Linked DNA regions of Neurospora crassa OR74A. The protein of the gene in region 1 purifies or fractionates together with the protein of each later gene. This does not show direct contact. Links are inferred from orthologs where the notes say so. Each region holds a gene or a part of one and is shown in the gene's direction. Other genes may lie near its edges.

Region 1 (4,456 bases):
CTTAGCGCCGTAGTACTCATCCTTGAGCTTCTTGATGGCCTGGTACTTTTCAGACTGGAGCTGCTGGAGCTTGGTGCGCTCGTCGCGCAGGCTGGAGAGGTTCTTGTAGGCCTCGTCCTGCTCGGCCTTGATGGCGTCAAGCTCGGCCTGGAGCTTGTTGTACTTTTCGCTGAGGGCCTTGGCCTCGGGGTCCTCCAAGCTGTCCTTGATCTCCTTGATCTTGGCCTTGAGGTCGTCGATCTGCTTCTGGGCATCGTCGAAGCCAGCAAAGCTCTTGCGCTGCTTGCGGAGGTTGGAGATCTCGGCGAGGGCCTTCTTCTCGTCGACGAGCTTCATCATGCCGCCGTTGACCTCCTTCTCCAGGCGCTCAATCTCGCGGTCGAGTTCCTCGGTGGACTTGAAGTTGACCTTGCTGCGGGCAGTCTTTTGCTCGGCAATGCGGCTGCGGAGCTGCTCATCGAGGCGCTTGATCTGGTCGAGCTTGGAGGTGCGGGCATTCTTGCCACCGGCCTGCTGCTGACGGATCTCGTTGAGCTGGGAGATGAGCTCCTGGCGCTTCTTCTGGGTGGGGCTGGGCTGGTCCTTGTTCTTGCTAGGAGCGGCGAGCTCAACCTTGGCCTTGATCTCGTTCTGGATTCAAGGACAATTGGTTAGTCTGGCCTTGTCACATGGCAATTGGAGGCAGCAGCTTCTAGTAGCAAAAGACGTGGTGGTGGTGAGGGTGGCGTGGACGGCAGGGTGCATCGTGAGTGCGAGGGCGGGTGCTCTGACTCCACGGTATCGGGTAGATGCGCTCTTGGTAGCGGCCAGGGCAGGGGACTCACGTATTTCTTCAGGGCCTCCTGATACTCCTTCTCGGCCTTGGCGAGGTTCTCGTTGAAGGCATCCTGATCAGGCTTGTGAGGCTTGGTGGTGGCCGCAGGGGCGGCAGCGGGGGATTGCGACTCGGCCATTGTGTGTGGTGTTGGGGGTTGCTGAAGGAAAAAAAGAAGAAGGAAGAAGAGACGAAAGGAAGGGAATAGTAAGATAAAGACGGGGAAGGGGGACTAGGCAACCGGGGGGCGTGGGTCGGAGCCGGTGGGTAGGTTGGTTGGAGAGCTACTTAGTGTAGAACAGCCGCGGGCGACCTGAGGAAGGATGGGAAGTGGAAGGCAGTGCACGTCCGAGGACCGCTGTTCGGGTCCTGTAGGATAGGATGTACCTCTGGGGTAATCGCTGCTTTGAGATGTGGTTATGTGGATGTGTAGTGGAAGATGGGGTCCAGACTGCCCTGGGGAGAACAATGGCTAGGTAGTGCGGGTGCTGTCAATGCCTGATCTGTTTTGCCCGCATCCAAATTGACAATTGAACGGGAACTAACCTAACTTTGGTCACTTTGAACCCTCAATTCACAGTCCCGTCGCCAGTTCCAAAAAATTCCAAAATTTGTCCCGCTTCAGGCGTGTTCCAGATCTGCAGATCGTGGCCTTTCCCCGACACCGTGTCACGCGTGTCACCGTCTTGGCCTGTGCGCTACTACCTACCCTACCAAGTACATATGGTGCGCTGGTTGGTTGGTTGGTTGGTTGGTTGGTTGGTTGGAGGATGATGATGATAGGTTGAATTGGCTCTTCACTAAGTTCACTTCACTTTGCCCAGCAATGTCCCTCATGGAACATATATGGATCATGGAAGAGGTTTATATAGGTAGTTGGCCGAGGAGAATTAATTTTGTGTACTATCATGTATGTACCGGAAACGCAACTTGAAGTGTATGTCCGCTTTTCCAGTCATGCATAAAACCAGCGCACGCCATCACTGTTCCTCCTAGGTCTTTCACGACTTCAACAAACTGCCTGCCTGAATCAGAAGCCGGTCAACGGTCAACAGCACAGACCATCTGCGCGCTTACTTGTAGTGTCTCACAGGGGTGAAGGCAGCCTCCGGCTCACTGTGGACCCATCCATCTCTTATCGGCCGGCGTGGAATCCTGGAGTGCCCGGGCGTTAGGTCTGATCAATGCGGCCACGCCTCTGGTTTTCGGCGACACCCACCCTTCCCGCAATTTTTTGAGAGCCTTTGTCCTTCAGCCTCGTAAACAGGAAAGTCCTCCAAGCTATCAATCCACCAACACGCCATCCACCATCGCGAACCACCACCTCACCTGCGCAACCTCCACATCACCACCACTCCGCGACGACAAACACTACACTTCAATCGACTGCCCAACACACACAGTCAAAATGGAGGACGACAGCAGCCCCACCAGTGCCTCCAAGGAAGTCTCCCGTCTGTGGAGGGCCTGGAGGACTGTTCACGAGATGGTTCAGGACAGGGTACGCCATCCATCCTTATCACGGCGCTTGCTCGACGCGCCATCGCCCAGAATGATTCGACCTATTCTGACATGTACATGTGCTTCTCGACTATAGGGCTACGAGTTGGCGGAAGACGAAGTCAAGATCTCGCTCGAGCGGTTCAAGGCTGAATACACGAACGAGGATGGAACACCAAAGTGAGTTCCTGCGTCGGCACCCATCACCCCTCCATCACCACCACTTTACGCGTCGCATTTCAAACCTCAAACCACTATCACCTCCCCACCAGACTAACATGACGACACCAAACCACAGCCGCGCCAAGCTCCAATTCTCCGCCCGCCCCTCGGAAGCCATGATCAAAAAGTTCACCGCCCCTCCCACGCCCTCCAACCCCAACCCCGTTCCCGAATGCGGCACCATCTGGGTCGAGTTCTGCACCGAAAAGGGCTCCATCGGCGTGTCCGTCATGAAGAAATTTGTCACCCACTGCTCCGACAACAAGTTCAAAGCCGGCATCTTCATCACCGCCGTCCCGCTTTCTGCCCAGGCCCGCAAGGTCATGTCCGTCACCTCGCAGTACACACAGGTCGAGTGCTTCCTGGAGGAGGACCTGCTGGTCAACATCACGCACCACGAGCTCGTGCCCAAGCACGTGTTGCTGTCCAAGGAGGAGAAGGCCGCGCTCCTCAAGCGGTACCGACTCAAGGAGACGCAGCTGCCGAGAATTCTGAGCAAGGATCCGATTGCGCGGTATCTGGGACTCAAGAGGGGCCAGGTCGTCAAGATCATTCGTGTGTCGGAGACGGCGGGTCGCTATGCTTCTTACAGGCTTTGCGTATAAGGGGGGCAAGCGTGTGTGCGTGAGAGAAGGGGGTGGTTGCGTGCGGTTGGCAAAGCTGGGCTGGCTGGCTGGCTGGCTGGCTGGAGGGCACTACACCAATCCATCCAATCTCTCCCCAGGCTTGATTTGTTCTCTGGACGGTCTTCGACGGGCCAACGCGGGTCTGGCTGGTGGGAATCAGTTGATGACTATATGGACGAGGACTGGATAAGAAGCCTTGGGAAGGGGACGATGACGGCCAGCAGCGAAGCAAGAAAGAAGTGAAAGCACGGCAGCCACCAGCGGGACAGGGAGGAAGGGGTTAGGGGTTCGGTTGTGTAATACAAAACACTTGGGCGTTTTTCTTTTTCTTAACTATTCTAGCATCATGGGGGATACAGGGAAATCAGTTTCTGTTCTTTCGAATTCAAAAGAGGACAAAGAAAGAAAGGCGTTACGGAGTGGCTTTTGTACTAAGTAGCTTGAGATATATACCGACAAGAGAATATCCGAGCTATCATTATGAAATTTTGAGACAAGAGAGATTAGAGCAGTTGGGTACTGTGTTTGCTAATGGGTATATTCACCACGGAGTCTACTATATTAGAGTGCTTATCTGAGCTAGAAGTAGCCCCTGGCTGAATCATCAACATTCAGGTGTTTGGATGCTGACTGAAAGAAAGTTTCGTCAATCCCTTTTGAAATCGGGCATGAGATATCAGAGTTATTGAGCTGTTGATTCGATTGCTCAAGAGTTACTCAGTGACTGGTGACATTGTATTGACCAATACAGAACTATACGCAGCCTCTACCATAAAGTCAAGACACTTATCCTCCAACACTGTAATCCGTTTGTTACATGGCATGTTGACTGTTCAATTATTCATTCATTCCTCTGTTAATACACACCTAAAAGACTCACTCAAGTCCAAATCACGAACCAATCCCAATCCCAATCCCTCTAAGGCCAAACCTCAACCTTCTCCCACTCCCCCTGCACCTCCCCGCCCGCCTCCTTCGCATGATAACTATTTCCCCTCCACAAATACAACCACCGCCTCGCCCTCTTCGCATCCGACAAATCCACCTGATCCACCTCGGTCGGCACAATCACCACCACCCTGAAATTCTTTCTGGCTACCTCATCCTGCAAATCCACCACCTCCTGGCCCAACCCCTCCCCTTTTCCAGGGGGGAACGCCACCGGCTGTCCCGGCGGCGGCCCGCGAAACGTGCCCCTCATGACCGGATTCAAATTTCCAAAATGCGCCGTAACCTCCCTGCTCCAGCTCCATTGCTCCTCATCCTCCTGTGTCTTGCCCTCCAGTCTGCGCAT
Region 2 (5,062 bases), on another chromosome or scaffold:
GGTGTTTGCGCGGCCATGTTCCATCACACGAGCTGAGAAGCACACGTCAAGCGTTCGTCCTCATAAGAGCCGCATCGTCCGGGTTATGACAAGTGAGAAATGTGATGTCGGTCAGGGTGATTTGAGAGTCGTCGCCGCCGTCGTTTGTTGCCATCGTCGGTCGGAATGTGTGAAGCTTCCATAGGAATTCTGGAAGAAACAGCGACGGCGGTCCACAACATGGAATCCCACGAGCGTCTTTAAATGTCTTGCAATGACCTCGGACGCTTCTCCACAAGCTGCTGCAAGATGAGCTGGCAGGGCACCAAGCAGCAAGGTCCAGCACGTCCAGCACATCACAGCACACACTTTCGCTACACCAAGGAACCATAGCAAAGTGCACGGCAGGGCAAGCGGACGGATTTGGCAACATTTCCAGCAATAGTACCATCAGGCTTTGCCGGGCCATCAGCTATATAGATACCAGCCTCATTCGGTTGCTGCTGGCTGGCTGTCCCATTACGTCGTGTTCGCTTTGCTGTCAATGTTGCGCCCTGTCTGCGCCCGGGTTGCATGTAGTGTTTATGCGTTTCGCCCTGTTCCATGTCTCCTTGTTTATTTATTCCTTTGTCTTTTTGGTCCGAGGCGACGTGCTACGTATGGGAGGTCCTTCCAGAAAGGAGGGAGAGCATGGTTCAACGACGTTGCACACAAAGACAAGCCCGGCGGGTCCCTGACATATGAGATCAGATACAGCATATATCGAAGCCAGAAACCGTCAGAGACACTACATCCGCCGCAGTACCTTTTCCTAAAGGCAATGTATAAAGCTTGAAAAGTAACCAGTGCTTTATCAAGAGCGCCACGCAATTGCAGCAGTTTCGCATTCCGATGGAAGAGGGGGCACGATATGTGGTTGTTGTTCCACAGATGGCGATGGCCGCACAGGTTGGGACGGAAACGCCAGTACAATGCAGACCCTTTGGGCTCATATAGGTTGTCGGACGTCATCGGTGTTGAGACGTGAAATGACATGGAGGGTTGGGTTTAGCATATCCGGAACCTAGATCCTAAGCTTCCCCATCCGGATATCCCCAGACTCCCGCTTTGCTCGAGGCATTCTCTCTCTCCATCACGAGTCCACAGTGGACGAGACACTTGACACCAAGGCCGCCCAATTCCGGACCGTTCGCAATCTTAATTGAATCTGAAGACAAGCCTTCACCCATGTCGAATGGCTGAAAAAATCGCTGCCCAAGGCCGATACTTCCAACGGCAATGTCCATTGATGTGATGAAGTGATGAACTTTTTGCTGGTCGAATGGGAATTCCATGCCATTGCGCCGCCAATTGATGGTGGGGTCAGCATAGCCTTGCCAGCTGCCGAATGCCAATTGGTTTTCAGCTGCCGGGCCGTCGTGGGCTGCCGAGGCTGCCAAAAGCGAAACGCAGAAGTCTGTAGTCTGCGGCAGGCAAGACCAATGAGCACCGGCACAGTGCCGGACAGACCAGCCAAGGTGGACAAGCTCACGGTGGCACGGCCTCAGCTGGATTGCCTGCCACAAGCCGACTCCAGTGGACTGGACTTTTGAATGGCGATCTCTTTGACCATGCGCCGATACCAATTGGCAGTAGCGCCAGACGCCGCGAACGAACAATTCCCATTGCTACGCTCGTCCCCAGACTCTCAGAATTCTGACTGCAACTGGCACAACGCCGAGAAACAGCGACTCCCTCTCTGGTTCGGACCTGCGCGTCGTCTGCCCCAAACAGCTCCCTCTTGCGTCCACCGTCGTCGCCGACCCATCGATTCTCTCTTTGCCCCGGGCCATTATCCAACAGTCAACAACTGAATAATTGCTTCAGCCCATCTGAAGCGTGGCAGTTCGTCGCCTCCAACCCTCTCAGCATCCGAGTCGCCAGCCAGCGGTCCAGTCGCAGTTGAGCATGCTGTCGCAAAGATCAAGGAGCCAAGACAAGAACACCGCAACGGCAACGGAAGAATAACGGCACCAGCGACCGGCATCCTTTTCCTTCCCTTCCTCTCCAACGAAAGCACCACGAAGCACCACACGCTTTGCTTTAGCCGACTACACAGGTACTCGGCCACATCAACTTGCATCATTCTGCCGCTGAGACGAGACGTCACCTTCTTTTCAGCCCGTCGCTCGCTCCACTCTCACCTTCTCATGACCTTTGCGCCTAATCCTACCGACTCCGCCGACCGTCTCCTTTTCCCTAGGTTGCCTCCTCGATCTGCACCTTCTTAGTTTTTTCCTCGACTGCGACCTTCGTACAGCAAACGTGCGCCAAGTGCCCTCGACACACAGACACACAACCGAACCATTACTCACAGTCCCTTATTCGGGTGCGCGCAGGGCGACCCCAGCTGCTGCTGCATCCACCATGGAGGACGGCCATCACTCACCGGATTCGACCAAGGAATCAAAGTCGGAGGAACACTCCAAGATGAACGGCTCCAAGCTAAAACGGGATGGCGCCAGCAACGCCGGCAATGCGGCCACGCCAAACGGCTCCCAGACCGGAATCTCGAGACCCCCAAGCATGTCGCCCGACGAGCACAAGGCTGCGAGTGAGAGCACAGCAACTCCCAGCGAAAATGTCCCGACACAAAAGCCTTCGCGAAAGGCGTCTCAGAAGAACATGAAGAGGGAACCGGTGCTCTTCAACCATCTCCCCGACGTGAGGGAAGAGGCATGCACACATTTCCAGGTCATTCATGACTGTCTCTATGGCTCAAAGAACATGGGTGCATCCGAGCACGATGCGTTGGATTGTGACTGTGCGGAAGAATGGCGTAAGTGAAAATATCTTCGGCGTCCCCTTGCCGCTAGCGTCATGTCCCCTCCGGCCCGCCCGCCCGCCGACACCCCCCCTTAACCGAATACTGACACCTGGCTCATCGTATAGGCGGTGATATGAACCATGCGTGCGGGGAAGATTCAGACTGTATTAATCGGGCCACGAAAATGGAGTGCGTTGACGGCGATTGCAACTGTGGTAGCGGATGCCAGAACCAGCGCTTTCAGCGAAAACAGTACGCCGACGTATCGGTCATCAAGACGGAAAAGAAGGGGTTCGGCCTCCGGGCAAACACGGATTTGCAAGTTAACGACTTCATTTTCGAGTACATTGGCGAGGTCATCAACGAGCCGACATTTCGCAGCCGCATGGTCAAATACGACAAGGAGGGCATCAAGCACTTCTATTTCATGTCACTAACCAAATCCGAGTTTGTTGATGCCACTAAGAAGGGCAACCTCGGCAGGTTCTGCAACCATTCGTGCGATCCTAATTGCTACGTCGACAAGTGGGTGGTTGGTGACAAGCTGCGCATGGGCATTTTTGCGGGGCGCGCAATCAAGGCTGGTGAGGAACTGGTGTTCAACTACAACGTGGACCGCTATGGCGCCGACCCGCAGCCTTGCTACTGCGGTGAACCAAACTGCACCGGTTTCATTGGCGGCAAAACGCAAACAGAGCGTGCAACCAAACTGCCGCCTGCCACCATCGAGGCGCTTGGTATCGAAGATGGAGACAGCTGGGACACGGCGGTGGCGGCCACCGTCAAGAAGCCCCGCAAGAAGAAGGCTACCGAGGACGATGAAGAGTACATCAACCGCTTCGAGCCTCGTGGCCTCGATGAAGAGGGTGTCACCAAGGTCATGGCCACGCTCATGCAGTGCAAGGAGAAATGGATTGCCGTCAAGCTGCTCGGCCGCCTTCAGAATGCCGACGATGACCATGTCCGGAACCGGGTTGTTAAGATGCACGGATACCAGATTTTGAAGACAACCCTCAACACCTTTAAGGAAGACACCAATGTCGTACTGCAGATTCTCGATATCCTGTACCAACTCCCCCGCATCACCAAGAACAAGATTACCGATTCCAACATCGAAGCCGCCGTCGAGCCCCTCACCCATTCCGACCATGAGGATGTCGCGTCGCAGTCCAAACGATTGCTTCAGGAATGGAGCAAATTGGAGACAGCCTATCGCATCCCGCGCAAGAAGCTCGACCCCTCCGCTCCCGTAACCACAAATTCGTTTGAGGATGACCGCCGCAACGTCAATCATGAGGAGCATCCCTCAAGACCTGTCAATCCGTTCGAGAACATGGTTGTGCCCACGGGTCCCCGCAGCAACATTCCCCAACGGAACATGAACTACTTCAACAACCAGAGACCACGCAAGCTTCCAACGAATCTTCCTGCAGGATGGTTTGTCACCACTGACAGCACAGGCAAATACTACTTTTACGACAAGAGCGGCCATACCCAGTGGCAGCGACCTACAACGCCTGCTGTCGACGTGCCCAAGCCCTCTGCCAAGGTGGAACAAAACCAAAAGGCTCTGCAGGATATCATCGACAGTTTGACCAAGGAGCCGACGCCCCGCCATTCTGCGAACCAAACCCCTAAATCTAACACACCCGTGCCAGACAATGGTAAGAAGGAGAAGTGGAGGTCTCTTCCGGTTGAGAAACAGATGAAGATTTACGAAAACACGGTATGTCCAATCCCGGAAGCCAACTGCCCCTCCTATTGCGGTGACGCTAAACAAAGTACTTTCAGCTCTTTCCTCATGTGAAATACGTCATGGACAAGTTTCACCGAAGACTTCCCAAGGAAGACCTCAAGCGGTTTGGCCGTGAGATCAACAAGAAACTGGTTGCTTCCGACTACAAGAACCACCGTGTCGATGACCCTACGACCATTTCCTCCAACCAGGCAAGGAAGATCAAGAAATTTGTCAAGGACTTCTTTGATCGTGCTGTGGTCAAGCACAGGGAAAACGAGCAGCGCGCTGCACAGAAAGCCGGGCCATCATCTTCCGGCGCCCCATCGCCTACCAACGGCGGTTCAGCCAAGTCACCACTTGGCCGTAACGGCGCCAGCAATGCCACCGTCAAGACCCAGCAGCCCGACGCCGATGGCGATATTGTCCTTACAGACGTGGAGGATGAGGGCGAGAATACTCCTGCCACCTCCAGCTCAGACCGCAAGAGGAAGCGTGCGGAAGAGCAAGAGGTTCCGGCGCCGGCATCCGAAGCGATACCT
Region 3 (3,898 bases), on another chromosome or scaffold:
CGGCAGGATATTGATAATAGCAGCGAATACACCCGGTCGGCCCTCACTGTTGGCGAGTAGCGGTGTCAGCAAGGCCCCATCCGTATTGAGAGCGAAAGTGGCCGGGATGTAGAAAGTACTTACACCGGGTGTAATCGTGTCTTCCTGTTCCATTGGAAGATGGTGCCTGTCACGTAAACCTTCTCGCCGCCACGGAGCCATTCGAGCCTGGTGGGGACAGTCGGTCTAGTCTTGTCCACCCGTAGCTCCTCCGTGTCTTCTTCGTCCAGAGTTGAGCTGTTACTCAAGTTGGAAGAGCGTCTGGTGAGCGCGGTGAAAGTGTCGGCATCCTCGAGTGGGACCCCAATGTCGGTCGGGGCAATGATAGGCGATCCGGGTGTGTGGACCTCTTCCTCGATCGGCAGAGGTAGTCGCGGCGGCCTGGTCAGGTACGAGACATCTTGCAGACTGCTCAGCTGCATAGCCGCAGTCTCAAAGGCATCCGATCTCTCTGATAGCGGTGATCGCACCGGCGACCTAGGTGAGCACGACGAGGCGTGGCAGGGTGTGGGCACGGCTACAGGTTTCGCGGGCTCATGACTGTCTTCGGGTCTCAGCTGTCTTACTTCGACAGGTTTGGTGGGGGTGGCAGAGCTGGTAGGCACCGACGAGCCCGGCGAGCCGCTCTGAGAAGGTGGCATTCGCGAGTGCAGCGACTTGGGACGAGCGGTGGTTGAGGGCGGCTGGACGGCGGTGCCCTGGGCCTGGGTCAAGGAGGGCTCAGGAGGGGCAGCGACTCGCTGATTTGGGACCGGTATAGGGTGCTTGGTATCGCGCTTCACTGCTCTGGCAGAGTCATTTTGGATGGAAGCCAGCGACTGGTGCTGAGACTGCGATTGAGAGGAGGAGGAGGAGGATTGCGGATTCGGGGTCTTGGAGTCTCTGGAGGTGGAGGGGTTGTTCCCCATTTTCCCTAGCTCGATCGCTGGCGCTGATGACGGGATGGGGTCGCCGTGGTGGTCGGGTCGGTCGAACGGGGTCGTCACAGGTGGTTCGCTGCTACCGCGGTCTGCTGCTGTTACTGCTACACCTGTTCAACAATGCGTCCACCGGGTGCAATCAATTCATCTTCCACTCTCCGGGGTAATTGGCCGAGTTCGGATAGAAGGTGGTTTGACAGTCGAGGGGCTTTGCATGCTACGCCAGCGCTGGTCGTGGCTGTGGTTGTGTGGTTTTTGGGAATTCGAACGACGTTGTCAGGTGTCGTGTCGTAATAGAGTTGGAGCAGGCAATATCGCAGCAAACTGGAAGATGTGATGATTCGAGTCGTGTCGAATCGAGGATGCGCGAAACAAGTGGAAGAAGTGGAAGTCGAGAGAATGACGGGTAGGTAGAGAGCTCAGTTCAGTTATCAGAGTATCACTGCAGCAGTTGACTGTCCTCCCTTGGGCCAAAAAGCACAGCTGCCATCCACCTGGTTGCTCGATAAGAAGCGGGCGACCACTGGCAACTGAATGGAACTCGGATGCAACGCCCCGGACTCGGCGAACAGAGTTGAACTGTGGATGAGTGTGAGACGGCGCCCAGCCCAACTGCACGGCAGTGTCTCCACTGTCCACCTCCAGGCATCGGCCCCAGCTTCCACTTCGGCCCCCACCTTTCCCACATTCTCTCCTGCTTCTCTAGCTCCTGGACCGTGCGCCCCTTGCATGTCAACTCCTGGCCCGCTGTGAGACCTGGAGCTTGCGCTGGCGCGACGCGGCAGGCAAGAGAGGCGGCCGATCTTCTTTCCAGAGAACAACTTATCGATGTTCACATGCATTCCTCTAAAGAACATCACCCTCCTTCGTCAAGTGTCCTTTTCCAGTTATTCATTCACTCGCTCAGCTATTCGTAGACGAGTGAGTTATCGGTTTCCGCCCCCAAAGTTACCAGTAACATCGCCATCCCTACACATCTCCCAAAAATGTCGGAGAACTACGTTGCCCCCGGCCAGCAGCGCTACCTTCGTGCCTGCATGGTCTGCTCTATCGTCATGACCTATGCTGTAAGTCGAGCTGCCCTTCCTCGTTTCTAGTCACTCTATGACCGACAAGTTTCTGACCTTTTTTGTTTTTGTCATAGCGCTTCCGTGACGAAGGATGCCCCAACTGCGAAGACTTCCTCCATCTCCAGGGCTCGCCGGATCAGATCGACAGCTGCACGTCGCAAGTCTTTGAAGGAATCATCACCATTGCCAACCCGCAGAAGTCGTGGGTGGCGAAGTGGCAGAGGCTGGACGGTTATGTGAAGGGTGTATACGCGACCAAGGTGTCGGGCCAGTTGCCGGATGACGTGCGCACCACGTTGGAGGATGACGGCATTCAGTATATCCCGTAAGTTTCCTGCTTACACTCGTGTGGTCTGGCGAAGCAGGCTATGATCGTGGGGTTTTCGGGGCACAGCCAGAAACTAACTTGGAGCAGGCGCGATGGCAGTGCGACGGAAGCGGACTAGAAACTCGAAGCTGCGGTGCAAGAAAACAAGACGGAATAGGGCGGATAAGAAAGCAGGAAAGAGAACCGACAAGCAAGAAGGAAGAGGGACCGATAATAGATCGTTCACAGACAACCCAGGAGCGGAATGCGGAATGCCTGTTAAAGGGAAGGCAACAGGAGTTCAAGGCGTTAAGGCTGGTTTAAAGGGCGTGGTCTAGACAGCAGGATAGTGGCCATTTTTTGGGTTTTGCATGATCAACCCAGGGCTATAATTACACACTGCAGCGAAATACAACAATCATACAAATGAGTTTATCACTACCTAACCTATATGGAAGATTATTCATCCAGCTACGGATCCCTTTTACGAAAACCCCAATGCAATATGGTATCTTTTTTTTAAACATTTCCCATCACGCCGAAAACGCCCCTATAACATGTACCGAAATATTGCCAAACCCGGAGATAGCATAACCTTTGACCAGTTACCCACGTGAGACTCCACAGTATGTTAAAACTGGAAGCGTGGCTTCTTGTTGGGAAAGTTCCCACCCTTCTCCTCGCGAGCCCTCTTGCGCTCCAACTCCTCCTTCATTATCCTCTCGGCCTCGCTCATCTTCTTGGGCGGAGCAGCCATAACCTTCTTGGGAGCCCCAGCAAACGCATTCTTGAAGACGTTCTTCGGTTGGGGCTTCATGCCGAACTTCATAGATACCGGCTTCGTGGCGGGAGCAGCGGCAGCAGCAGGACCAGCAGGACCAGCAGTCGAGTCAACCGCGGGTTTGCTTTCCTCTGCCGTCGTCTTGGCAGTGGCCTCTTCGCCCTTTGAACTTGCTTCCACCTTTGCTTGCTCAGAGCTTACACCGTCCGTCGTCGTCTTCGTTATTGTCGAAGGTGGCGTCACGGTATCCTTCTTCTCCTCCGCAGCAGGAGGAACCGATCCGTCCCCAGCACCCGGTGTTGGCATTGCCGCCGCCGATGTCGAACCCTTCTCACCCTCACCCGACCCCGACCCGGGCTCCTCTTTCTTTGTTGTGGCCGATTTTCCAAAACTCAACTTAATCTTCTCCCCCTCCCTCCTCTTCAACTCCTTCCTCTCCTCCTCCTCCGCATCAAAGCTAACCCCCCTCGCCTCGGCATCCTTTTGCGCTCTCTTAATTTGCTCCCTCAAAGCCCTTTGCTCCCTCTCCTCATCCCCCTTATCCATCATCTCCTTCCTCCTGACCTTCTCCCTCCTCTCCATCGCCTCGGGAGAATCATCAATCCACGCCACAAACAACCCCTCCCCCTCCTTCTCCTCCACCCTACACAACCCTTCCCTGCCCAAAAACTTTGCAAACTCTGTGAGGGAATGCCACTTGGTCGCGTTGAGATGCACGTGGTCCTTGCGCGCAATCACCTCCTGGTAAAATTTATTGATGTGGATCTCCTTCTCGCCATGG

The links. Proteins that work in one complex are often made in the same cells at the same time.
Region 2: the proteins of NCU05305 (region 1) and set-2 purify together in Saccharomyces cerevisiae (affinity purification with mass spectrometry; 3 studies listed by BioGRID). This does not show direct contact. The link is inferred for Neurospora crassa OR74A from reciprocal best matches to the Saccharomyces cerevisiae genes RPB5 and SET2.
Region 3: the proteins of NCU05305 (region 1) and NCU03838 purify together in Saccharomyces cerevisiae (affinity purification with mass spectrometry; 3 studies listed by BioGRID). This does not show direct contact. The link is inferred for Neurospora crassa OR74A from reciprocal best matches to the Saccharomyces cerevisiae genes RPB5 and SPT4.

Annotation. Positions count from the first base shown.
Region 1 is NC_026504.1:5,395,363-5,399,818, reverse strand, and holds NCU05305 (DNA-directed RNA polymerase II polypeptide), read left to right. Parts: upstream 1-1,980; 5' UTR 1,981-2,222; coding exon 2,223-2,315; intron 2,316-2,411; coding exon 2,412-2,494; intron 2,495-2,612; coding exon 2,613-3,141; 3' UTR 3,142-3,761; downstream 3,762-4,456. Other genes in the region: NCU05304 (nuclear segregation protein), read right to left, coding at 1-630, 825-953; NCU05306 (hypothetical protein), read right to left, coding at 4,082-4,456. UniProt on the Saccharomyces cerevisiae protein: DNA-dependent RNA polymerases catalyze the transcription of DNA into RNA using the four ribonucleoside triphosphates as substrates.
Region 2 is NC_026503.1:3,234,814-3,239,875, forward strand, and holds the start of set-2 (histone-lysine N-methyltransferase), read left to right. Parts: upstream 1-1,659; 5' UTR 1,660-2,385; coding exon 2,386-2,797; intron 2,798-2,910; coding exon 2,911-4,511; intron 4,512-4,576; coding exon 4,577-5,062. UniProt on the Saccharomyces cerevisiae protein: Histone methyltransferase that trimethylates histone H3 'Lys-36' forming H3K36me3. Involved in transcription elongation as well as in transcription repression.
Region 3 is NC_026505.1:2,571,614-2,575,511, forward strand, and holds NCU03838 (transcription elongation factor spt-4), read left to right. Parts: upstream 1-1,602; 5' UTR 1,603-1,945; coding exon 1,946-2,026; intron 2,027-2,103; coding exon 2,104-2,354; intron 2,355-2,444; coding exon 2,445-2,475; 3' UTR 2,476-2,795; downstream 2,796-3,898. Other genes in the region: NCU03837 (Snf1 kinase complex beta-subunit Gal83), read right to left, coding at 1-46, 124-947; NCU03839 (APF1), read right to left, coding at 2,968-3,898.